Oryzias latipes: one gene and its partners. Each later gene encodes a partner of the first gene's protein in a complex. Links are inferred from orthologs where the notes say so. Each region holds a gene or a part of one and is shown on either strand. Other genes may lie near its edges.

The links. Proteins that work in one complex are often made in the same cells at the same time.
Region 2: med25 (region 1) and med7 share a complex: the UniProt entries of both Homo sapiens proteins name them as parts of the mediator complex. The link is inferred for Oryzias latipes from reciprocal best matches to the Homo sapiens genes MED25 and MED7.
Region 3: med25 (region 1) and mediator of RNA polymerase II transcription subunit 26 share a complex: the UniProt entries of both Homo sapiens proteins name them as parts of the mediator complex. The link is inferred for Oryzias latipes from reciprocal best matches to the Homo sapiens genes MED25 and MED26.
Region 4: med25 (region 1) and med12 share a complex: the UniProt entries of both Homo sapiens proteins name them as parts of the mediator complex. The link is inferred for Oryzias latipes from reciprocal best matches to the Homo sapiens genes MED25 and MED12.

Annotation. Positions count from the first base shown.
Region 1 is NC_019866.2:3,604,964-3,611,092, reverse strand, and holds the start of med25 (mediator of RNA polymerase II transcription subunit 25), read left to right. Parts: upstream 1-2,747; 5' UTR 2,748-2,893; intron 2,894-3,446; 5' UTR 3,447-3,455; coding exon 3,456-3,580; intron 3,581-3,663; coding exon 3,664-3,709; intron 3,710-3,803; coding exon 3,804-3,928; intron 3,929-4,021; coding exon 4,022-4,120; intron 4,121-5,152; coding exon 5,153-5,273; intron 5,274-6,129. UniProt on the Homo sapiens protein: Component of the Mediator complex, a coactivator involved in the regulated transcription of nearly all RNA polymerase II-dependent genes.
Region 2 is NC_019868.2:21,184,817-21,190,842, reverse strand, and holds med7 (mediator of RNA polymerase II transcription subunit 7), read left to right. Parts: upstream 1-2,137; 5' UTR 2,138-2,253; intron 2,254-4,420; 5' UTR 4,421-4,429; coding exon 4,430-5,191; 3' UTR 5,192-5,470; downstream 5,471-6,026. Other genes in the region: itk (tyrosine-protein kinase ITK/TSK), read right to left, coding at 25-150, 236-317, 427-531, 613-750. UniProt on the Homo sapiens protein: Component of the Mediator complex, a coactivator involved in the regulated transcription of nearly all RNA polymerase II-dependent genes.
Region 3 is NC_019875.2:6,541,643-6,547,775, forward strand, and holds the start of mediator of RNA polymerase II transcription subunit 26, read left to right. Parts: upstream 1-2,244; 5' UTR 2,245-2,530; coding exon 2,531-2,602; intron 2,603-6,133. UniProt on the Homo sapiens protein: Component of the Mediator complex, a coactivator involved in the regulated transcription of nearly all RNA polymerase II-dependent genes.
Region 4 is NC_019868.2:8,240,615-8,246,650, forward strand, and holds the start of med12 (mediator of RNA polymerase II transcription subunit 12), read left to right. Parts: upstream 1-2,147; 5' UTR 2,148-2,204; coding exon 2,205-2,306; intron 2,307-3,010; coding exon 3,011-3,115; intron 3,116-3,205; coding exon 3,206-3,397; intron 3,398-5,739; coding exon 5,740-5,899; intron 5,900-5,997; coding exon 5,998-6,036. UniProt on the Homo sapiens protein: Component of the Mediator complex, a coactivator involved in the regulated transcription of nearly all RNA polymerase II-dependent genes.

The DNA of each region.
Region 1 (6,129 bases):
TTTGTGTATTGGTAAATGATCATCTTGTTTGAATTCCTGTTGCTTTTCATGCATTCAGTTTGGTTTCTGCGTTCTGTTCAAGTCCAGACTCTTTTTGTTAGTTTGATTTTATTTAGTAACTCTGATGGAATCAAAAAAAAAAAATGAGAGTCTAGAATTCTCTGATACACACTGTTCATATTTTTTTAAAAAGACTACAAATATAATCCATCCATATAAGAAGATTTTTTGTTTGATTTTGGGTTTTTTTACATTTCCATTTTCCTCTCCACTTTAGTGCCTGGAACATTTGGTTTCTGGTGTTTGACATGTACTTTATAAGCAGATCTGCAAACTTGAGCTGCACCTTTTTCATTTCTTTCAAAATAAACCACAAATGTTAAGTGTTCCAATAGGTTGAGAACTATATTTAAGATTCTGAATTTTCTGACAATTGCAATAATGAAATTACTTAGTAATTACTTGGTATTCTATATAAAGACAGCAAAGTAGACAGCAAAGAAAACGGTTGTGAACTCATACTTTTGTTATATTGTTGTTGTGCTTTTATTCTGAAGGGTGTTTTACACACAAAGAAAGACTTGGGCAGGGATTTTAGGAATTTCATATAAATAACGGGGAAAAAATGTCGTATAAATTAGAAAAACAGCTGCTGCTGATGGCAGTGGGGCTTACGGTTCCCAAAAGGTGTGCTTTGTTGTGCTTACCCATTTGTGCGGATCAAAGTGCATCAGCAAGCAGCCTGTGATTACCTGTTGTGAGAAGACCATCTGGCCCAGAGTCCCAGTAGGTCAGGTAAAATGGTCAGGAGACAGATTGTCTTATCAAAGCCGCCTGCAGACGTGGAGTTTTAAAGAACCACATTTCTGCATTCAGATTATTGATTTCTGACCAACAACGGGGAAAAAAGGAAGCAGTGTGTGTCTTTCTAAAGGCACACCCAGAGAGCCGGCGCTCTGTAATTGCTTGGCAACTGCTTGCCATGTGTGTGCTAAAGTTTAAGACAACAATAAGCACAAAATGTCTCCAAGAAAAGCATCAGAGCTGCAAAGTAAAGAGCTTCCTGTGCATGCAATCCTTCCTGCCACTTTAATTTGGCCATGTTTCACTGTCAGGATAAAAGATCCGTGGGGAGCTAAATGTTTGCAGGTCGTGGATAGCCACGGGCTTAAACCCTCTCCAGATCAACTTTACTTAAGCCGCCATAAGCAGCCCTGCTTTTTGACACCCAAAAGGCGAAGCTGCTTGGGCGCACAGCTTGTTTTCCTTCTCAGAATTTGGGCTGAATTGATATGGATCATTGTGTCTGTGGGAGGGTTTTGAGTTTGATGAGCTCTGAAGCCTCTAAGCTGAACGTTCAGCTTACTGGCTTTTGTCACAAGGGAGCGGAAGCCATTAAACCGACCACACAAACTACATCAATGTGTTAAAGACACAAGTTCTACCACAAACAGGTCATTAAATTTTACCTTTCTCGGTACAAAAACACATGGGCAGGAATAAGTTTTATCCTTAAATGTCTGGCATTTTTCTACAGGCCTGTTTCTTGTCTGCCTGAGCTCACTTTTTAACAACATTAATCAAGCTTGGTGTAAATAAACTCCTTTTTTTGTTAAGTAACCAAAATCAAATTACACTTTTGAAAAAAGAAAAAATCTGTATAACAAAAGCTCAAAAGCGTGTGGAGCAGAACACCAAGTTTGGCCTGTAAATTTACATATTTAAACAAGATGCAAAAACAAAAACAAACAAAAAATCTGAATTTTCTTTTGCAGACATCATTAGAGCTAGTATCAAATGCACGCTTGCATCTTCTCCACTGTAATTCTGATGTCTTCTCTCTTTGCACTGTGGAGATCTGCTGACATCTCCTGGAGATGTGGATCATCAACATCTGGATTTTTTCTGCATCCGGCTCTGTTTCACATCTGAAATAAAATCCTCAACAAATGTGAAAAACAACTGTTTGTTTTTCATAATTCTGAAGACAGATTGTACCTATTATTTCACAATGCAGTTAATTAATTGGAAAACATCAAAATTAATTAATTTTGGAACTTCCTGTTGGTCCTCTGCTCATTCTGCCTCCAATGTTTTTATTGTTTTAGGCTCATCCAGAAGCACATATTTCTTCTGACTATTCCAAAAGGTAACCACTTTATTGAAATGCATTTGGTTATAAGGTTTGAACTGAATTCAGAGCTGAAAACTCTAAGCATTAATTGGTCCAATTGAAGCTTAAATGTATGTAGCTGGCTAATCTGAATCTAAAGGTTTTATTCGCATTATAGTGAACTTCATAGTTACCTGCTGTTGAAAAGACATTAAAATGGTTATGACTTCAAAAATCTCATTTATCACTGATATATGGTGAAAATGAACATAGAGGACTTTACTGGTTTGACTTACACATTACCTAAAATAAAAATCTGGAATAATAACTTTAAAATCTATTAACAAATAGCTTCTCTTATTATTACGCCAAAAAAGAACTTTATTGTTTTTACCAGTTATTTCAGCAACACCTCGTTGTTACCAAATGATTGAAAATAAAGCGCAATTTGGTCTCTTTTACATGGGATTTTCATTTTATTATTATTACTATTATTATTATTAATTTATTTATATTTTATTTATTTATTACCACAGTGCTGTTTCACTAGGAATGACTCAACGCTAGGGGGCAGCAGTGCGCTCAGAGACATCCTATCTGCACATTATATTCAACGAAGAGGAAGCGTCTCCATTGAATTTTCATTGCGTCACTTCCTTGTAAAATAAAACAAACGTATATGCGGTTTTGTGCTATGGTTTAATTTTTTTTTGTAAACAACTGCCTATATTTCGGTTTAGTAAATCTCATATTTAAGGAATAATAGGTGTTCACTATCAGGTTAGTTGTGTCTCATTTCTTCTTGAATTACAGTAAAGGCTTTTCCAGTCGTATTATTTATTTAGTCTTTTTTCCATGCTTGCTAAGCCGGCTAATGTTTACAGCCGGTGGTTTCCTTTTCATAAACTGCCTCAGTTACATAAACGCGTAATTAATAATAATCATAGTTGAATTGTTAGATTATTCGTTGTCATGTTTTAAGCTAGAGAGACATTTTAAACAAACGGTACACACACACGGCTTTGTTTGTTTGTTCCTGCTCTCCGTTTTTAAATTGTTTACAATATGCCAAATCATGACGTTTTATTTCAAGTTAACACATAATGAAGATGTGATGAAGAGAAACATTTTAGATGCTCACTCTGTCTGATGGTTAGAGAATCCATTAATTGTGACATTTCAAAGCTTGAATTTCATTGAAATAATCATCACACATGTTTATATATTAATATTTCACCAAGTACCGCCTGTAGAGGAAAATAAAGTATTTTGTGTGTTTTGCTCCATGATACCACCCTTATTTCCCCTTTTCCCGTGTCTCCCACACGTCCAGGTTGTGGACATGGAGCCGCCCAGTAAACCTGGCTCCAACCAGGTGGCCGATGTGGTTTTTGTCATCGAAGGGACGGCAAACCTGGGACCGTACTTTGAATCACTGAGAAAAAACTACATCCTTCCAGCTATTGAGTAAGAAGCAGAAGATGTGCAGACTTTACAGAGTGAGCTGCTCATACATTAAAACAGTAAATATCTTATTTCTTTTTTTCTAGATATTTTAATGGAGGGCCCCCAGCAGAAACAGATTTTGGTGGAGACGTGAGTGTAATTTCTGTTTTTGTTAGTATTTCAGTTTTTTAAACTATTTTAGTCCCGTTTTGTAATAATAAGTGACATCTGTTTTTCTTCCTAGTATGGTGGAACACAGTATGGTCTGGTGGTGTTCAACACAGTGGACTGTGCTCCTGAATCCTACGTTCAGTGTCACGCACCAACCAGCTCTGCCTACGAGTTTGTTTCATGGATCGACAGCATCCAGTAACTTGGCTACATTTATTAAAAAAGCAGATAGGGATCTTGTCTAAAACTCCCATGAATTTCTTGAAAGATGTGATGGGTGTTTTCCTGCAGGTTCATGGGTGGTGGAGCAGAAAGCTGCAGCCTGATTGCAGAAGGCCTTTCTGTGGCCTTGCAGCTCTTTGACGACTTTAAAAAAATGAGGGAGCAAATGTAAGGTATCATTTCGTCTAAGATGTTTAAAACATTGTTCTGTGTTTATTAAAATAAAAGTTAAAGTACATTTTAGCTCCCTAACTTTTGTTTAAACCAGGGTCTGCAACCTTTAACACTAAAAAAGCCATTCAGGCCAGTTTCCCATTGACAAAAACAGCAGCAGCTCCGAAGTCTTGTTTCACCCTCTAGAAAAATTCAAAACTCCTTTGTATTTGTTGCTTTCTTTTTTTGATATATATATATTAATTAAGCTATTTTGACTTAAATAAAAACAATAGGGAAAAAATAAATGATAGCATTTTATTCAATTCACATGAATTTGTTTTTTCCTCCTGAGAAAAGTGGACACTTTTAAAAAAATAAAGACACATCTGCTGCCGTAAATATACTTCAAAGAAAATGTTATACAATGTAAATCAACAAAGGCTTTTTCTTTTGTTTTATATAAGTCTACTTTGGTGTGTCATCGCCCTTTTCCAAGCTTAGTAATATAACCTGAAGATAAATATCATGGTCTGAGAGCCATGTATAAAAGTATATACATGTCTTTCTCTTTCCCCCTCTGGGCAGTTATTAAACATTATTTTGCAGCGTAACATAATTTGTTTTAAGTATATCCCAATAATAAACATACTTAAAGGATTACAATGTTTTTAAGAACACATGTAATTTGCTGAGTGTTTGAAATGTGTGCATTCTGGGAGAAACATAAGGCCGTTTTCATTTTTTATTGTTATAGGAGCATTTTAGCCAAAAATCTAAGAAACTACATTTAAATCAATGCTACGATATTTATCACAACCAAAGAGCCAGAATGGAGCAGTTTGGCTCTGGAGCCTCGTGTTGCAGATCCCTGCTTAAGACATCACTGACTACTTTTTAAGTTTTGTCTAAACAAGTTTTTTTCACGGTAAATGGGGAGAACGTAGACTTCCAATGTCTGATGTTGACTTTTACAGTATTCTAAACATACTGTGAAGGATTTTTAACAGTCATTGTTCTTGTTTCTGTCTGCGTGTGTCACTGCAGAGGTCAAACACATAAGGTCTGCGTGCTTCTGTGTAATTCTCCTCCGTATCTGCTTCCTGCTGTGGAGAGCGTCAGCTACACCGGATGCACAGCGGAAAGCCTGGCCAAAATCATCAGAGATGTGAGTTTTTCTACTGTGGTTTTTAATTTTGTTCAGTTCTATGAGTTGTGGCATTTCTCCTTTTTTATTATGGGAATATTTCAGATTTAAGGGGGAATTTTCAATGAATTAATCCGTCCATCAAATTGACCGTCCAACTAACTAGTCTAAGCGATGATGTCCTAAGATTTCCCTCCCCAGAATTGTTTTCAAATCTTCAGTTTTTCCAATTATTGTCACAATATATTATATTTGAAATAGATTTTTTTGAATAGGAATTAATATCTTCTCATTCAAACCAATTGTTTAGTCTGTCTGAACAGCATTCTTTTAAGAATATTTTACAACTACAAACCAAAAAGAAGAAAATCTCAATGCAATTTCAATTGCTGTCATTCTATTACAATATTTTTACACTGACTTTCACATCCATGAGGCTGTGAAAGCAAAACTTTCTAATATTGTTGAGGCGACTTTCCTACTGAAGCTTTCTGAGGAGCCGATGGGTTGACAGGGTCTGTCTTATAAATGCGACGCAGTTCATTCCGTTGTTTTGTGTGTGTTTTTTTTTTGTTTTTGTTTTTAACTAAAAAGAATCAAAGTAAAATAAATTTATTTTGTACGAGTTCATGAAGCTGATTAACCAATGGGAAGAAAAGTGGACAGCAAAGAAAACGGTTGTGAAAGTAGCAAATAACTAAAGAAACAACCCAAGCTGCCCTCTCAGTTTGCGGATTTGCTGAAACAATTTAGTCAATATTCAAGATAATCAAGTGTCAATTAAATATGAGTACAAACAAACAAGTAAACAAGAATTATTGGCAAATCCATTCACATTTGAGTTTCCTAAAGTTCAGCCGACTGTTGTTTTTCCACA
Region 2 (6,026 bases), on another chromosome or scaffold:
AAACAATAACAAATGAATACAAACCACAACCCACTGGATCATACACACGACAACCTGCTGCCAGTTTGTCAGTTTGTAGGCAGCATCTCCATTTTCCATCCATCCAGAAGTTTGTGTGGTATTTTGCAACCAAACTGTTATATTTAGTCTCTACATAGAAAGATGAACATATTTCTTTATATGCAGGTCAAGATATTAAAATTACAATGATACAAAGAGGTTCTGATTGAATTACCCTCCTTGAGGGCTTTGACCCATCTCATACGACAGTCGTTGTCTGGAGCAAAAATGTAGAGGTAATAGTTGTCATGAAGAACCTGCAAAGCATTTGTGATTTAAAGAAAATATGAGACAGAAATCTTCAAAATTCCTTTGAATTAAAAATGAAATAAATTATTTTTTAAGTTAAAAAACTGCGACTGGTACCTGAAATGGGTACTTGTATTGGCATGGTATGGGGATGTCACTACACACAATTTCCACACACTTAATACTGGACAGTTGAATGCAACCTTTTAGCATGGGCTTCTTCTGCAAGATCGTGCCATTTCCAAAAGTTGTCAGTTCAGTCAAGCTCAATTTGACAATTCCATGAAGCACACAAGCACTCACCCCCGAACGGCGCTCAGAATACTTCAGCTCCTGTGTGTCCAAAACAAAAAATCTCTCTTTGTAATTACACGGTGACGTTCTCTTCTTTTGCTGAGATTTTTTGATCATGGTTCCCTTCAAAATCACCCGAGGAAACATGGTTAGCAGTTGAGAATAACACCACTGGAGACACTGGGTGGTATTGGACGGAGTAACTGAAAGCCTCTGACTGCAGGGGGGAAAAAAAAGGGAGAATGCAAACATTGAAGATGCCGAAGAGTTTCCGGCGTGGGTTAGTTGCATGCAGTAAACCACATCCTTGTGGCAACACTCTGTGCAAGCAATCACACACTGATGTGCACACAAATACACACACGTATCATCACGTATGTTGTGTTAAACTCAATAAAGGTTTTTTTTTTAACATGAACCTTTGATGTACTATTGATCAAATTTTGCATAAAAATGTAAGCTTTTTGTCAGAATTGCTTGGTTGTTAAACAAAAATGTTTTAGAAAACAATTTAAATTTTCATATTAAATCAAAAGCTAAAAACAAAAATAACACTGTTAATCAATACCTAAGAAGCCATAGCTGGGGTTTTTTTTCGGAATTTTTAAATTTTCTTTTTTCTTCATTTAAAAGAAACTCTCCGCTTGTATCAAAATTGTAGTAAAAAAGTACTACTGAAGGAAAACTTAAAAATGAAAAAAATGCAATTTTTAAAAATGTAAAATGCATGATAAGTTATATCCTACAAACACTAAGAATGTCAAGGTTTCATGAATCACTAAATGCAGAAAACAGCAAAAGAGAAAAGTCTGGTTTCTAAGAAAAATGTATCCAAATACAATATGGAACCTTTGATGTACTTTTCATGAGGCTATGTTTTCTTTGGGGTTAGAAAGATTCTTATTTTTCTTTTCAATTTTGGTTCAAATACGATGTTCTTGTTTTGTTTTGCACACTCCGAAGCACAACCTTTGCCCTCTGCTAAATATTCACTAGGCCTATGACAACGTTTATAAAATAAAATGTTACATGTCATTCTTATTTAGTGTCAGGGTCAAGATGAAGTCAGCTTACTTATAATAGTTTGACCATTTTTATTTAAGTGTAAAAAAAAGAAAAAGAATGAATATTAGGTGTTGCTAATTGACTAAGTAGAAAATGAAACATAAAATTCAAAGTTAGACACTTTCACCTGCCCTACTGTATTTAGGGCGTAAAAACAAATGATAGATACATTTTTAAAATTAGAGTCCCCCTCCCCCCCCTTTTTTATGGTTACAGATCTGAACTTTTTTTGCTTGGGTTTGATTTCTTAAGCAGCTTATTTTAAGAACATATTTTAAGATTTATAGGCCTACCAGGATCAGAACCTGAACTCACTATATTAAACAAACAAAAACTAACAAAAAGTTTAAAACAATTAATACAGGAAAGAGATTAGTTTTGAATAAAACCCACTAATTATAAGGTTAATAATGAAATACTTTAAAGGCTTGTCGACGCAACCAATCAACGTCGAGTTTGTTTCCGGGTCACTGTCCAATCCTGGCATCTGAAACTCAACCGGGAAATGAATAAAGCGAAGCTAGTCAGGAGCTAACTGGCTAGAAGAATTTTCATCTAAACTCAACCAATTGAGTCGTTAAACAGGTTTGTACAATAATCAGTTATAAATGTAACCCTTTTATTCGTGTTACAGACCTGTTTCTTTGACTGTAGAGACTGTATTATTCAGCAGATGCAGGAAACGACGTTTGTTGTTAGCCAAACATCAACGGAGCGGTTTTATTAATTAGGTTTTTGTAATAACTTTTACTGTTAGTTAGTATATACGTGGGCTTTTATGTGGTATCTAAATGCACTACGGCGGAATAATTCGAGATTTGTTACGTTAGGTTTGACTTTGACATAGTTCTCAAAATGAATCGTGATGATCATGTGTGTGTCTGTTGTCGACTTGTCCGCCTTCTTACTTAGAAAACAGGTTTAGCTATGTGATGTGTGAACATTATCTGTTGTTGTACTTCTTGTGAGCACGTGTAAAATCCTAAAAAAAACGCGTGGGAAAAAATACTTTTATTGGTTGGAGCGGTTAACGACTCGTTTGGCTACGGTAAACTCTGATCGTGGCAATCTTCAAGTTAAAACATGCACCGACCATATGACATATCCTTCTCTGATTTGAATGTTGTTTTCTTTCCTTCAATAACAATGATACAAAGTGTTGAAAACAGACATCAACAAATATGCATTTTGTAAAAGCTGTGTTTTTTTTAATGTATAGAATGTGCATGTATGCACTTCTCTTTACTAAAATCCACAATTTGACTTGTTTTTGACCCTCATTTGTTCTCTTCTTACATCAGGATGGCTTTTCTTTAAACATTTTTTTAAACTCTGCAGTTTTTTTTTTATTTATTTTTTAATTTTGAATATAAAATCTACTAATTCAGTTGTATTTGCTAAATTGATAGCAGAACAATTATAAGGTTATGTGCACAACAAATAAGCATTTTGAAAAAATGGTGTTAAATCACACAGAAAAAAATCATATTCTTTAACAAGTACAATCTGATAGGGGGGATAGTGATAGATAATATAAATTTAAACATGTTTCAATTGAATAAAAACTGTTTTCTTATAGATAAAGGAATTATAATAATTTGGATTTTTAGTTACCGGTAAGTAGCACAGACAATTTGTTTCAATTAAAAAAACATGAGGATGTAAAGAAGTTTAGGAATCAATCAAAAATCTGTTTAATTGTCCCACAGGTAACTATAATGCAATGGAAGCTGTCACATCTTTATGCCATTTTCCACAGCATTTAGAAATGGCTTTATTGATTAATTATTTTTGGTATTGTAAAACTGATTATGGAAACCTGTATAAGTCTTTTCTCACAATTTTAAAAAAATGTTTCACTTAAAAATTCCTCTACATTTTCTTTAATCTTTTGAAAAATATATTGTAAAACAATGTATTATTGAATAAGTATCTGTAACAGAAACTATAGTAAACCGTGTTAAAATAATTATAACGTTTGTGGATGCATATACAAAACTAGTAATATTAGGCTAAGTGTCAACATTGTACATCTGTTCCTGTGTCTGTTGGTTAATCTGCATTTAATACTTATCTACTCTAACCTAAAAACATGTATATGTTTAAGCTCCACAGATGCATGTTCTTCTTGGTTGTCGCTCTTGCCTCACAGCAAGAAGGCCCCCAGTTCAAGTCCCAGCTGGGGGACCTGAAACAGAATCACCACTGGGGGACCTTTCTCTGTGGCGTTTGCGTGATCCCCTGGTTTTTCTCCAGGGACTCCAGCTCCCTCCCACCGTCCAAAAACAAGCTTCATAAGTTAATTGGTTACTAAATTCTCCCTAGGTGTGAGTGTGCATGGGTGTGTGAACGTGGCTCTGCTACAGACTGGCGAACTGTCCATGATGTCCCCTGCCTTTGCTGAGATAGGCTCCGGCAGCCCCGTGACCCTGAAAGGGACAAAAACGGGTTTAGAAAATGAATAAATAAGGATATTTTTTCTTGAAAGTTATTATTTTGGCACATTAAAAAGGCATAGTTTTGACAAAGTGCTATCATGACTGTGACTTTACTGACTGGAGAAAGCGTTTATGCAAGAGGTAGCTGATGCCATCACCCAGAACATATGAGGGGGTCATTAAAGATTGTTTTACTTCATATAAGTGAGACCCGTGAACTCGCCACAACAGTGGGATCTTATCAGGTGCATGACTGTGTATTTGTTGTTTGGATTCTTTCTAACTTGTAGTTCTATTTATTTTATAATTTTTAGGTCTGCAAAATGGGTGAACCACAGCAGGTCAGCGCACTGCCTCCACCGCCCATGCAGTACATCAAGGAGTATACAGATGAAAACATTCGCAAAGGTCTGGTGCCAAAGCCGCCTCCGCCCATCAGAGACAGCTACATGATGTTTGGCAATCAGTTTCAGTGCGACGACCTTATTATTCGGCCTCTGGAGAGCCAAGGCATCGAGAGGCTGCATCCTATGCAGTTTGACCACAAACGGGAGCTCAAGAAGCTGAACATGTCCATTCTCGTAAACTTTCTGGACCTTTTAGACATCCTTATCAAAAGTCCTGGTAATATTAAACGCGAAGAGAAGATGGAGGACATAAAGCTTTTGTTTGTTCACATGCATCATCTGATCAACGAGTACAGGCCGCACCAAGCCAGGGAGACTCTGAGGGTGATGATGGAGGTGCAGAAGAGGCAGAGGTTGGAGACGGCGGAGAGATTCCAAAAACACCTGGAGAGAGTCGTGGAGATGATCCAAGGGTGTCTTGCTTCTGCGCCTGACGACCTGCTGCAGATGGAGATTCCAGACGTTTCTGAAGGGCCAAAGGGTGCGTCCGGAGCAGCTGCTGCCCCCTGTTCGTCTGGGCAGCCCCCTCGGCTGAAAATGGAACCTATGGATGTTGAGGAAGCGGGGGGCAGCTGTATGGTTGCAGGAAACCAGGAGAAAAATATCCCTTCTTCAAAAAGGGACAAAATATGGGACAAAGACGCTGCCATGTGTAGTATAATTGATGAATTAGCTTAGCTGTATGTTTTTCTTCTCTCTTTTATAACCAGAAATCGTTTGATTGCTCTCTGTTTGACTAATTGCAGTGTTTTCACAAGAACAGGAAGTCTTCTAATGTTAACTTATCTAAAGGCGGTCTTTCAGTTTTTTTTCCTGCACATGGGAAATAATTTAGATAGTTGAAATTCTGTATTAAAACATTGTAGTGTCAGTATTTGTTTTTGCAAGAAACCTAAAAAAACATTTTTCATTTGGGTATGTTTAAAACTGCAAATAAAAGTCTCATGTTCATATTTATGCAAACGTTTCTCCTTTGTTTGCTAGTCCTGTCAGTTCACTTGCTGTTTTCTCACCACTGTGGAATGTAAGCATGATCTATTTATTATATATTTGGTTCCTCCTTTCCATTCAAAAACAGAAGTGTGTTGCTTTTCAGGAAGTTGCTCTGACATAATTTCTACTTTAGTAGAGAGGATCACTCTTTGGATGCAAATAAGTTGCCTTTAGTTGCACTTTCTGTTATGTCATATACGCCTGTGTCACTTCTGGAGCAGGGGTATTTCTTAAATGATACTTAGGATGTATTTGATCACATTTATGCTTCATTTGATTTAAAGGTTAATGAAAATGGGGTAAAAATAAAACTTATAAGGTAAATTTTCTTAGATCTTTAATGACTGAACGATACGGCAACAACATTAAAGTCCCACTCCAAACATCTTTTGATCTATTGTAAAGTGTTCCCAGTGATCTTTAATTTACGGTAATGCCGGTTTTAGGCTAAATAAAAATAAAAACTGTCATTTTCTAGGACAGTGTCGAGTGTCAGTAGTTCATCAGAAATTTGCCACCA
Region 3 (6,133 bases), on another chromosome or scaffold:
CTGGCAGATTTCTGATTCTTCAAGGTTCCATTCTAAAAGAGACTATCAACCTGGTGAATGTCTATGGGCCTAACATAGATGATAACACATTTTTTACAAACCTTTTTGTAACCATTTCTTCACTCCAAGGATATAGTATCCTAGGAGGAGACTGGAATTGTGTCTTGGATCCCTCTTTGGATAGATCATCTGGATTTGACCAAACTCACCAAAGAAGTAGGAATGCTGTACAGAATTTCATGAAGGAATTAAAAATGGCAGATATGTGGCGACACACAAGACCCAAAGATATTGAGTATTCTTGTTATTCTAAAACTTATGGCTCATACTCTCACATAGATTACTTTTTAATTTCAGCAGAGTTACTATCCAATATAAAACAATGTTTTTTGACAGTATAACAATCTCGGACCATGTAGCATTTTGTACTTGCATATTAATCTCAAAATGCATCCACCCAGGTGGTGTCTGCATCGAAAATGGCTTAAGAATGAACATGTTGTTGAATTTGTAGGGAATAAAATAGATTAATATTTTACCATGAACACTACTCAAACTTCAGCCAGTGTAAGATGGTAGGCATTTAAAGCTTTTTTTTAAGAGGGCATATAATTTCCTTTACTTCATCAAAATCAAGAGAATTGCGCAAAAAAGAATACAATTAGAAGATAGAACAACAACAGCTGAGGAGAAAGTGTGTAAAAATAAAGATCAGCAAGCTGAAAAAGAATTAGAAATGCTGGGAGCTGAGTATAATAAGGAATCAACAGATCGTGCAGCCTCAATCAAACTCTCTATGAGCAAGGAGACAAACCTGGAAAGATCTTAGCCTGGCAAATTAAACAAACGGAGGCCCAAAAGAACATAACTTCAATAATTAACAAAAATGGGACAACCCTGTGCACCCAAAGGAAATAAATACTGAATTTAAAAACTTATTCTGCAATCTTTATGCTGAACTTTATGCTCAATTGCTGACATTTTAACAAACAAAAATATCTCTGCTCCTATTAAATTAAACGTGGGTGTCGGCAGGGATGCCCTTTGTCACCTCTGCTGTTCACTCTAGCAATAGAGCCACTTGCCATAGCAGTACGTGCTCATCCAACCATCTCTGGTATTACGATTAATCACGTAGAACATAGATTGTCATTGATATTGTTTTATATTGATATTATTTTACATGTGTACGAATCTGATGTGAGTGGAGTGAGAATGAGAGGAAGACCGCGAATGGGATGGACAGAGGGTGTAAAAAGAGCGCTGAATGCAAGAGGGATGACTGTGGTGCATGGGAGAGAGGCTGCTCAGGACAGGGATGGGTGGAGAGAGTTTGTGTATGAATGAATGGATGGGTGTGGTAGAGGTCTGGTCTTGGGATGAAGCGGCAAGGGGAAACCAGCCTCGGCTGAGGCCCTGCTGTGGAGGTGCCCACACTGGGCTGTGCAGCTGACCCTGGTGCAGTGTGGTGTGGCTTAGACCAGGCCTTAGACCGGTCACATACACACACACGCGCACACACGCACACACTGAAGGAGGAGGGTTTGGGGAAGAGAAGGAGGGCGGTAAGAATGGGTGCCCTGTCAAGGCTACCCCACTTTGGTGGGACACAGCCTAGGTAGATTGGTATAGATTATTTTACATCTCTCCAACTTAGACTCATCTATATCTGCTCGTCTGCAATTAATTGAAGAGTGTGGTTACATATCCAGCTACACCATAAATAAATCTAAATCGTCCATTTTACTGCTGAACGAGAATCAAAGAGAAAGGCCACCAGCAGTAATAATGCATTTTAAATCAGTCCACTCATTTAAATATTTAGGTATAAACATTTTTCCAAACATAGCACTAACAGTTCAAAACAATAATGATTCCATAACAAAAGAAATAAATGACAGTATTAATAGATGAATGCAGCTTCCTACATCACTGATCTAATGTCTACAAAATGAACATTTTACCAAAACTGCTGTATATTTTCCAAAATATGCCCCTGCCACCTCCCGACGGTTGGTTCAAAATTATAAAACAAATGATTCTGTGTTATATATGGAAAAATAAAAAATCTAGGACACAGCTATCGCTCCTTCATCTATGTATATTTACACACACATGTTGGTTAAGTGCAGGACCGATATATATAATTTTTATTTATTTAAGGAACAGGCAACATTTCAGTTATATAAAAAAAACTCTGTGGAGAGAAACTGTCAACTCTGTGTCCTCTGTCGCGTGCCTACGTCATGACGCAGGCATCGTATCCCAGCATGCAACAGGAGGCCAAGAGAGATCCAGCACCTCGGAGTGAGCTGTGGGAGCCCGTTGTCAGACTGGAACAAACGGTCAAACCCGCTCACACATTTCCAGCTCCATGTGAGGAAAGCGAACCTTTTACCTTCCAAGCTCCGGGAAACATGCGGTTCGGGTGCATATCGTGTTCGTGAAGCAGTCAAGAAGTCATCGTTGTCATCCGGTTTTCATTTTGGAGGATTCCTCCCTCCATCATCCGGATCGCATCAAACAGGCAATGACCACGGTATCCACAACCCCGCAGCAGATAAGGGACCGGCTGCTCCAGGCCATCGACAGTCAGAGCAATGTGAGTGCTCCTCCTGCTAACAGGCTACCCGGCCAGTGTTAGCTTGTTTACCTACACGCTCCGTACGTTAACACGTCTGCTTACGCTTGACGTGTTGTGCTACTTTGAAGGAAAACGTTTCTGTCACAGTATAGTTGAAGATGACTTTTCAAAAACCCTGACCAGTAGCGGTTCTAGGCACGGGCCGTCCGGGCGGTGGCCTGGGGCGGAAAACTGAAGGGGGCGGCACCGGCAGCTCAGCCCTTGTAAAATATTATATGCACCACTATTGGTTTTCTTATGTCACAGTTTGTGAGTTTGTAACAGCCTGAACCTGGCCGCGCCGCCGCCCCGCAGCTGCGCTCTCCTGTCTTTGAGAAGTAGACACAAATGTGTGTGAAGAAGGAGAAGGGAAGGGGCGCGGGGTGAGCACGGAGCGCCGCCGCGTTTGCGCATGCGCAAACCCTGGCTGGCTCATCTTTCAGAGGAGGCGACGGTCGCGGGCTTGATAAAAAAAATAAAAGTAATGTAGCGAATCAGCGCCCCTGGCTGTAGCTGCACGCGCTCCTGCTGAAAATGTGTGAAGAAAGGGGGGGGGGGGGGCTGCGGGGAATCAGTTCAATTGTGGGACGCTTCCAAATTAAGAGGCTAGGTGGGGACAAGGGCGGGGGTTTGAATCTACTTTATAAAACCTTTTTATAAGTCAGTCATAAGGTGACATTCTATAACCTACATTTTAATAAAGGTATAAAAAATATATTCTTCTTTTTTGGGTTAATTTTATGTGAAATGCCCAAATGAAAAAATGGCAACACAAAACAATGCTGTCACTAAGGTGACAGTTGGTTCAGTCGACGGACTTGATGCCTTCTTCGTGACGTGAGGACATTTATGCCAAACAATCGCCAAAAACATCTAAAATATGGAGAAGAAAAGGTCAAAGCCATCTGGTGCCCAATTTAGAAAGAAAAGAAAAGAAGAAGAGGAGAAAAGAGATAAAGAAAAGGGGAAGCCCTCAAAGCTTGATGCATGTTTTTTCTAAAACATGCATCAAGCCCGTTCTATCAAGCCCAAATGTTGCAAATAGCGTCATTTTTTATTGATTTTTTAGATTTTATTCTTAAAAATTTGCTCTGCCTTAACTTGTAACATTAGTTATGATTCATGTGTCTGTCTGCTGTGCTGTAACACAACGGTTTTGTTGTGTTTTGCTGTTGTATACTAGTTCATAATGTTAAAAAAGCTGTGATGGTTACACAGCATGCTGCTGCTGCCATAAGATGCTAATGGGGCAAATAATTTGAGATTGGTCATTAATTTAATAATCATTTGTGGCAGCCTAAACGTTTTCACAATGTGTTTTTGACATTTAACTGGGGATTTAGGGGTTAATTTTGAGCCAGCATATGAAGTTTATTTTTTATTTGTTTTACAAATGTTGGGTTATATTTTTAGCCAATAGAATTTCCATAAATCTGTAGGTAGTTTTAAAAATGAATATTTACCATTTACTGCAACTCTATGGGGACAAAACATAATGTAACAGGTCATAACTAAAAATGTGCCAATCAAAGGATTGAAGACGGAAAACATGAGCATGTCGGAAAACATGTTAGTTGACAAAGACATAGTTCTGTTTTGACCATGGGGGGGGGGGGGGGGGGGGGGGGGGGCGCCTGGGGAGGGTCTCGCCCGGGGAGTAATTCAGGGTAGAACCGCCACTGACCCTGACAGAGAGGCGCGTGCCTCTGGAGAATAGATAGAGCTACACGGCGAGCTACACCTCCATTAGCTTAGCCTCGGTTAGTCATGGCAGTCCCTTAGCATGCTAGCTGTTAGCTTAGCCCTGAGATTCACCAACACAACAGTAAAAGTTACCCAGCGACCCCCTAACCCTGTCAGGCCACAGGGGAACTGTTGTCGATTTAGCAAAACTGTCATTTAAAATAGAGGCAGAAAACGAGGCACTCCAGCTTTTTAGAGGTGCTACATTTACCAGTCTAAACAATTCTGTCCCTAAAAGTTTAATATTAACTTGAGTCAGGTCGAGAAATTAAAGGAATTCACTATAATCTTGTCTGGATGATTAAGAGATTTTGGACTGTGAGGCTCAACTTTTAAGTTTACAGCAATTCTTATTCCTCTAAAGAAGAATTTCATGTGTAGTGACCAATTTATGTGTGGCATTGAGATATAGTGAAATTACTAGGATGTGTTTGTGTGCATAAACATGCACAACATGCAACATACTATCCAAAATTTTCATTGTCATGGTTTTTCTTCATTGATTTTTTGGTCATTTTTGTAGCCAAACCCCAATACAGTTGTGTTTAACTAAAAGCTCAGGAAGGTTTGGTACTGTGGTGTGTTTCAGCACCGCTTTATGCTGGCAATCAACAAGTTTCAAGTATTATTGTAACGTAGGTATTACTTTCAGGGCTAACTTATCCTTTAAAAAGCGAAACTTTTCTAAGTAAACGGAAAATGTTTTTTTGTGTAACTCTGTATTCTTTATCATGCAAAAAAATCAACCTTTTTGAGCTTTGAAGTGTATTATAATTTTAATTCTTTACGAAAAACACCTCAAAAGCGGTATTTTGTTCCGTTCACGCATTTCAAAAACCTGCTCTCTGAGTACCAGCTGCTCCCAATCCACCCAATCGAGTGGCTCCTCATATTGTGACGTCAGTAAAAGTGGGAAAAGCCCCTTAAGCACAACACCAGCATCACTCCATGATGCTAAAAAGATGCTGCTAAAAAGGTTAACAGTGGAATCAGGTCTGTTATTACATTTATAAAATACAGCCTTTTAGGAGTACTTTGTCCTCTCTGGGTGGGTGGGGTGCTCCTGCCCCAGGTGGAGGAGGTTAATTTTTCCCGGATCGAGTTCTCTTGTTTTGTTCCTGGATCGAGTCCTGAATCTAGCTTTTGGTCTGTATTCAAACTGGCATCAAGCAGAGTATCCTGTTTGTTAACAAAACCATGTGACTAAAGATCTCTTCTGTCATTGGTCAGGTCCTACAAGGGCGGGGCAAGGAGAAAGACAAACGCGCTGCACTTTACAATCCCTATTGGGACGGTTAACTTATTAAAACTTGTCGATTACCAGGTTTGAACATCAGTAACAAACTTTTTACTTATTGTGGTACGGCGGTTCATGCTGCAGGGCGGATACTGAGGAGACGAGGATGCTAGCAAAGAATTTCTGTAGCATAATCAAAACCAGAAATGCTTTTTAATTTTACAAATTAAGCTGCATTTTTTTGACTCAAAATTCAAATGAAAAATCAATCCACCAAAATGCTTTTTCATTTCTACTTAAAACTGCTTATTCTGTGTCATAATTAAAATGAAAATGCAGAGACGGGATTGCATTTTCATTTTAACATCCACCCTGCGAACATTGTCGCATAATTCAATTCGACTTAGCGTTTCCAGAGGGGAGGCGGGGCGATGACGTCAGTGCTATCTATGTGTGTCCGGATGCTAAGAGACACATGCTAGGAGCAGCTTTGTGTTGGCGACAGGGGAGAGGGCTTTGTGATGTTTGTG
Region 4 (6,036 bases), on another chromosome or scaffold:
GATGCCTGAGCTGACGAGAGGTTTTGATGTTTTGTTTGCATATTTTTTAGAAAAAAAAAGACTTCAGATTTTTTTCCCATCAAGCTTTAAATTAAATCTAAAAAAGTGGGGGTTTTTTTTGTAGTAAAAGAAACAGACTTTTTTATTTATTAAATCAAATTAAATGTTTTAAAAGAAAGTGGGAAAAATGAACATCATTAATAGTGTTTAATCAATCTCATTTGTGAGGAAAAGATGGTGGACGTCATTAGTACTCATTGCCTTACTTGACAATAAAAGCATTTGGCTTTGATTTTTCACCTCATGTTTTCTCTATCATTAGAGTTCCCTGCTGCAAACAAATGACAGTAAAAATGAAAAAACAAACACAAAATGCCAGTTAATAAAATTAAGTTCACATTAGGGTTACAGCATAAAAAAAATCAAAATAACTTTAATATGTTGAATCACTGATAGTGGCCACAATGGGTTTGAAAATATGTTTCAGATGATGAAAAATAATCTAAAAGTATACTTTTTTGCTTTATATGATTAAATTACTGGTAAAATACTTTTTGTTGCCACTAATAACCAGAGGAGGGGGTTTGGGTAATTTAGATTTAAATTTTAATATCAGTCTATGAACCAGATATGGTCAAATTATTACTATTGTCGAAGGAATTTCCCTTTTACTTAAAGTTTTTTTTATTAGGTATTCCTGAGTTTAACTATACTTAGAGCAGGTTTACTAAAGAGCATGTACATGTAGTGCAGGAAGTATACTAATTGAACACGTCATACTAAATTGGAACATTTTAAATTTACAGTATGTACTGTGTAGACAGTTGATAATAAGTAAACCAAAAGTATGCTGTCTCACTTTTAGTATAGATTAAGTATAAGTGCACACCTAAATAGATTACGTTTAGCTGAGTAACTTTTGCTTTCTAAATAGATTTTTGGTTAATTTGTTTTTGTACTTCTACTGAAGTAACATCACTAAAGCTTGGTCATAGGCCGTTTCATTCAACACAGTTACATTTATTATTATTATTTTGTATTGTTAAGAAAACAATATACCTTGATTTTGTTTTCAACTCTACAAATATGTGTTGAAAAGTTCCATCAAAATACTTGAACAACATTTGATCAGTTGGTGGGTCAGTACCTGAACAAATAGTTTTCTTGTCATATTGATAATTTCTTTAAAACTTTAGCTTTCCAGTGACACTTTTAGAGTATGCAGTTGTTTCTGATGTGATCCCTGCAGGTTTTCTTCAATTTCTAAAAATGTCTAATGCAAAGAAAATAGGCCAGTGCTGAATTTGATGACACTTTTAGTGGAGATGTGGACATTACGAGGAAAGGATGCACCAATAGATATATTAGAAATCAAATTTCTTGTTTGACTTCTGGTGCAAAGATTATTTGGTATCCAATCTTGAGTGATTCAATATTGTATTAAAAATAAAAAAGAAAAAAAGTTTCATTTAACATTTTTTATCAAATTTTTCCAGTAAAGATAGACAAAAAAGATTTAAAATAGGGAAAGGGTATTTCTTATTTTTACCTAAAACACGTGTGTTTAGCTAATCAAGTAAGGAGACCACTTTTAAAATTTAGTTTAGTATTGCATGTAGTCTACATAACTGGATCAGATTTGAAAGAATTTATAGTCACAGAATTGAATGTAAACGTCCAAATTAGTATTGTTGATTTCATGTTTTATTTTGAATACATGGTTTGCCCAAAACTGTAATTTTTGTTATTCAACTGTTTATAATTTATTGTTTAATCCCACACTCACAAATATAAATGGTCCATTTCAAAATCTTGTTTTAATGTTTTCATTCTTGACTTTAAAATAATCACAACAGTGGAACAAATGTAAAATATGCAGATCTTGAAGGAATGGCACATTTTTCAATTCTTTTTAACAAGATTGTAATGATTGTTGATGTGCAGGTTGTACAGTACGTGTTATGTTTACTTTCGCCTATTGTCCTGTATCTAGTTCATAACAAAGTTTTTTAAAGACAAAAAAGGTTTAAACGACACTTAACGAAAGGGAACAAAATAAGAGCTTTTCTTTGAAGCGGCGCACAATCTGAAACTTTTATTTTGAAGTGGCAGAATGAGAGGCAGCCGGAAGCGAGTGTCGCTCTTACATTCAGCCCAGAGACTGCTGTTTAGGAGGCGGAAAGCTTTGGCTGTGATGCCCTTAGATGATGGCTGCTTTCGGGATCTTAAGTTACGAACACCGGCCATTAAAGCGGCCCCGCCTCGGTCCTCCGGACGTTTATCCCCAAGATCCAAAGCAAAAAGAGGTGCAGTCAACTTTCATTCGAGCCTCTCTTGGATTGGAATTGTGTTTGTTGGAATTGTGTTTGTTGGTGGGGGAGAATTCTCTCGACAGGGAAGCTGTAGGGGGCTAACACACAGCTAGCGTTTTATAGCAGCGCTGTATAAGCGAAGGGCCTTGGAGCAACAATAAGCAGCTCCCGGCTGTCAGCTTATTAGCAGCTCCGCACTTAACTGGAAAACAAACCCCTCGTTAAATAACAGAGCTAGCTAAGCTAACAGCAGCTATGCCACTGAATATCAAACAGAAGTTTGTATTTCCGTCAAACAGAAGGGGGTTCATATCTCCGAAAGACTCGCATATTTAAATGTTTTGCTCCACAAAAATGGCGTTAACCTGTTAACTATCCTTTTTATTATTATTATTATATTTTTTTTAGGAATGTTTAATGCATCCTTATCGTAGTTTAATTTCGACTCTACCCTGTGTGATAATGGTACATTCCTTTGTTCTTATATATGTAGCAGGTATAGTTTGGGGTGTCAGTGGTAAAGCTTTATTTCTCGGCCCACCTTTTTCTGAATTCTCAGGGGAATGATCAGTTTTTGTGTTGTCAGCACAGCCAGTCGAGCACATTTCCTGCTTGCTCAGAACGCCAGTGATTGCTGAGGAATGGAGCTTTAGCACATCTTGTAGTATTGACCTCCTACATGTGTGTTTTTGTTTCAGGATGAGTTGACTGCCCTCAATGTGAAGCAGGGCTTCAACAACCAGCCAGCTGTGTCTAGTGACGAGCACGGCTCTGCCAAAAATGTCAACTTCAATCCCGCAAAGGTACCATTCATTTATTAATTATTATTGGCAGATTTTGTCCTAAATGCCAGTTAGTTTTTTTTTTTAATGCATGTGCTCATGTGTTTGCAGATCAGTTCCAACTTTAGCAGCATCATCGCAGAGAAGCTGCGCTTCAACAGTTTTCCCGATACAGGGAAACGTAAACCGCAGGTTAACCAAAAGGATAATTTCTGGCTCGTCACAGCAAGGTCGCAGAGCTCCATCAATAGCTGGTTTACAGATTTAGGTGGTACTAAACCTCTGACCCAGCTGGCTAAAAAGGTAAAAGTCCTGTGGATGAATCCTGGGATCACTGAGTATTGTTGTGTACTTTGTTTTCCTGTTTACTGTTTTTGTTCTCAGTTCACGTACGGAAATCTTCAGTTTGTTAAAGATGCACTCAGATGAAAATAGTATTTTTAACAGGTTCTTGTGGCATTTTTGTCATGATGGACATTTTTTAAGAAAATTAAGCCTAAAAGAGCATTTCTCTTTTTTAAATTGTTGTGAATGAGGAGCAGGAGAAAAAAATGCTTTTTGAAAAGAGATTGTAGTTGGACATAGAAAAATACGATGAGCCCCCTGCTCTGCTCCATTCTGATACATGCACTCACAGGCAAATAGATCCATGTACGTCTTTGTTTTCCTCGTCTGGGCTGAAATCTGGATCAAAACTGTACGGCTGGATACCGCCAATGTTGCTCGCCATTTTAGTATCGCTGCTAATTTTAGGTTGGGGGTGTGAGGAGCTGTAAGTTAAAGGGGAGCATGTAAACAGAGGAGTAACCGAAATTGGGGTGTGATCACTCCACGTCAACAGTCCTGCCCACAACTCAGAGGAGAATACTGATGAACTCCAGCTGCTCTGCAGAAACGATGTCCTAAAAAACGAGACAGGTTTTTGATTTTGGCTAAAAACAGCATAACCCTTGTGCTGTCCTATGGGGTCCAGATGACCCGATCTTTACATTGACGTGTTCTCCCTACCATTACAAAAGTGGATAAAGGTGGAAAGATTTCATGTAATCCATGGACACCAGTGAACATCACAAATCATTGAAGAAAAAAGGTTCAGAGCACTGTCTAGTGCAGAGGTGGGCACTGAGGGCCGCATTCCTGCATGTTTTCCAGCATACCCTGCTCTGGCATGTTCTGATTGGCTGGACACACCTTAACCAGGTAATCAGCCACGAGTAGGGCAAGATTATTGGCTGGACACACCTGAAGCAGGTAATCAGCCATGAGTAGGGCAAGACTATCTGGAAATCATGCAGAAACACCGGCCCTCGAGGCCTGGAATTGCCCACCCCTGGTCTAGTGGGTCTGGATGACCCAACTCCCAATGTTAAAGTGCCTAAGATAGCACAAGGGTTACGAGACCTCTGGGAACGCTTTGAAAATGGATCAAAAAAAGGTTGAAGTGGGTCTTTAAACTGTCAGTGAAAAGAAACAGAATATCTTTCACACTTTTTATAAACTAGTAGAATTAATGATATTTGTAGCAGGTACCGGATGTTAAAGTGTCTTGAGTATTTGTACCCTTACAATTCATCTCTATGATGCTCAAACTGAACTTTGACAAAAACAGCATAAATGGAACAGCAGCTTGATGTCGTCCAATAAAGAAAATCACATTGATGTCTTCTAACTCAAACACAGAAATCTAGTCAAACGGCTGCTCTATTTTGCATCATTGTAATTTACCAGACATTATTTTGTTCCATTGTTTATGAAAAAGCTGTATTTCTCAATTGATGTGTTTTCTGCTGGCCTGTACATTTATTATTACAGTCCCAGTCTGGGCCAATGTAGGCTAGCTGTGAGCATATAGGATATTTAAGCCAGGTTTATTTATAGGTAAAGTCAATACAAAAGTTTTGCAAAAATGCAAAAATAAATGTGAATTTTGTCTTCTTTTTTTTCTTGGCTGGTCAGTTTTGGCATTTGTGCTGCTATAATTGATCAGATCTTGTTATAGTTTATTTTATTTAGATAAAGTGAATTTCAGCTGTTGTGTGGACAGCCACATGTCTATCTCCTTAACCTGTATTTGGGTTTTACACAATTAAATGTAATTTGTGCAGCCAGTCAAAAAGGTTTATTTTGAAACCCATGGAGCCATTTCTCCTGGGGTATCTGTTAATTTAAATGGAGTTCTACTTTATTGCCAGCAGTCTGTGTGCAGACCTTTCCTGGTTTTGGCCTTTGGGCTGATGATTCATACTGTTTCATTTTAATCGTAGCCCTCACTGCAGATAAGTTAGATGAATTGCTTTCAAAGTGTCTTCCAATTAGTTTTTCATAAAGTTTAATCTCTCAAACTTATAGATCTAGTTAGTTGTTGTGAAGCTTTTGAGTAGCTTTTAATGTTTTATGGAGGTAGTACTGCATTTGTAAATACTTAGTCTTACAGAAAACATGCCTAAAATGACAGTAATACATAAACAGATCAGTAGTTTAAAGTTTGAATATGTGATTGATTATGTCAAACATAGAGATCAACTTGTAATGATTAGAAATGGCATCAAATTATGATTTGACTTGTTGCCCACTTTCACTTTTTGGGTCATGTTTATTCAGCAGTTTTTCAATCAGTTTTACTGATGATGAAGTTTATCCCCTAGGTACCCATCTTTAGCAAAAAGGAGGAAGTTTTTGCATATTTGGCCAAGTACTCAGTCCCTGTGATGCGCTCAGCATGGATGATCAAGATGACATGTGCATATCATGCAGCTATCACCGAAACTAAAGTCAAGAAGAGGCATGTGATCGATCCTTGTATAGGTATGAAATCTTTCCACTCAGTTTCAATCAAACCTATTTTTCATCGATGTTTCATTTTGGCGACTTCTGACATCCTTTCCTCATTTGTTTGTCTGCAGAATGGACTCAGATCATAACCAAGTATCTTTGGGAGCAGC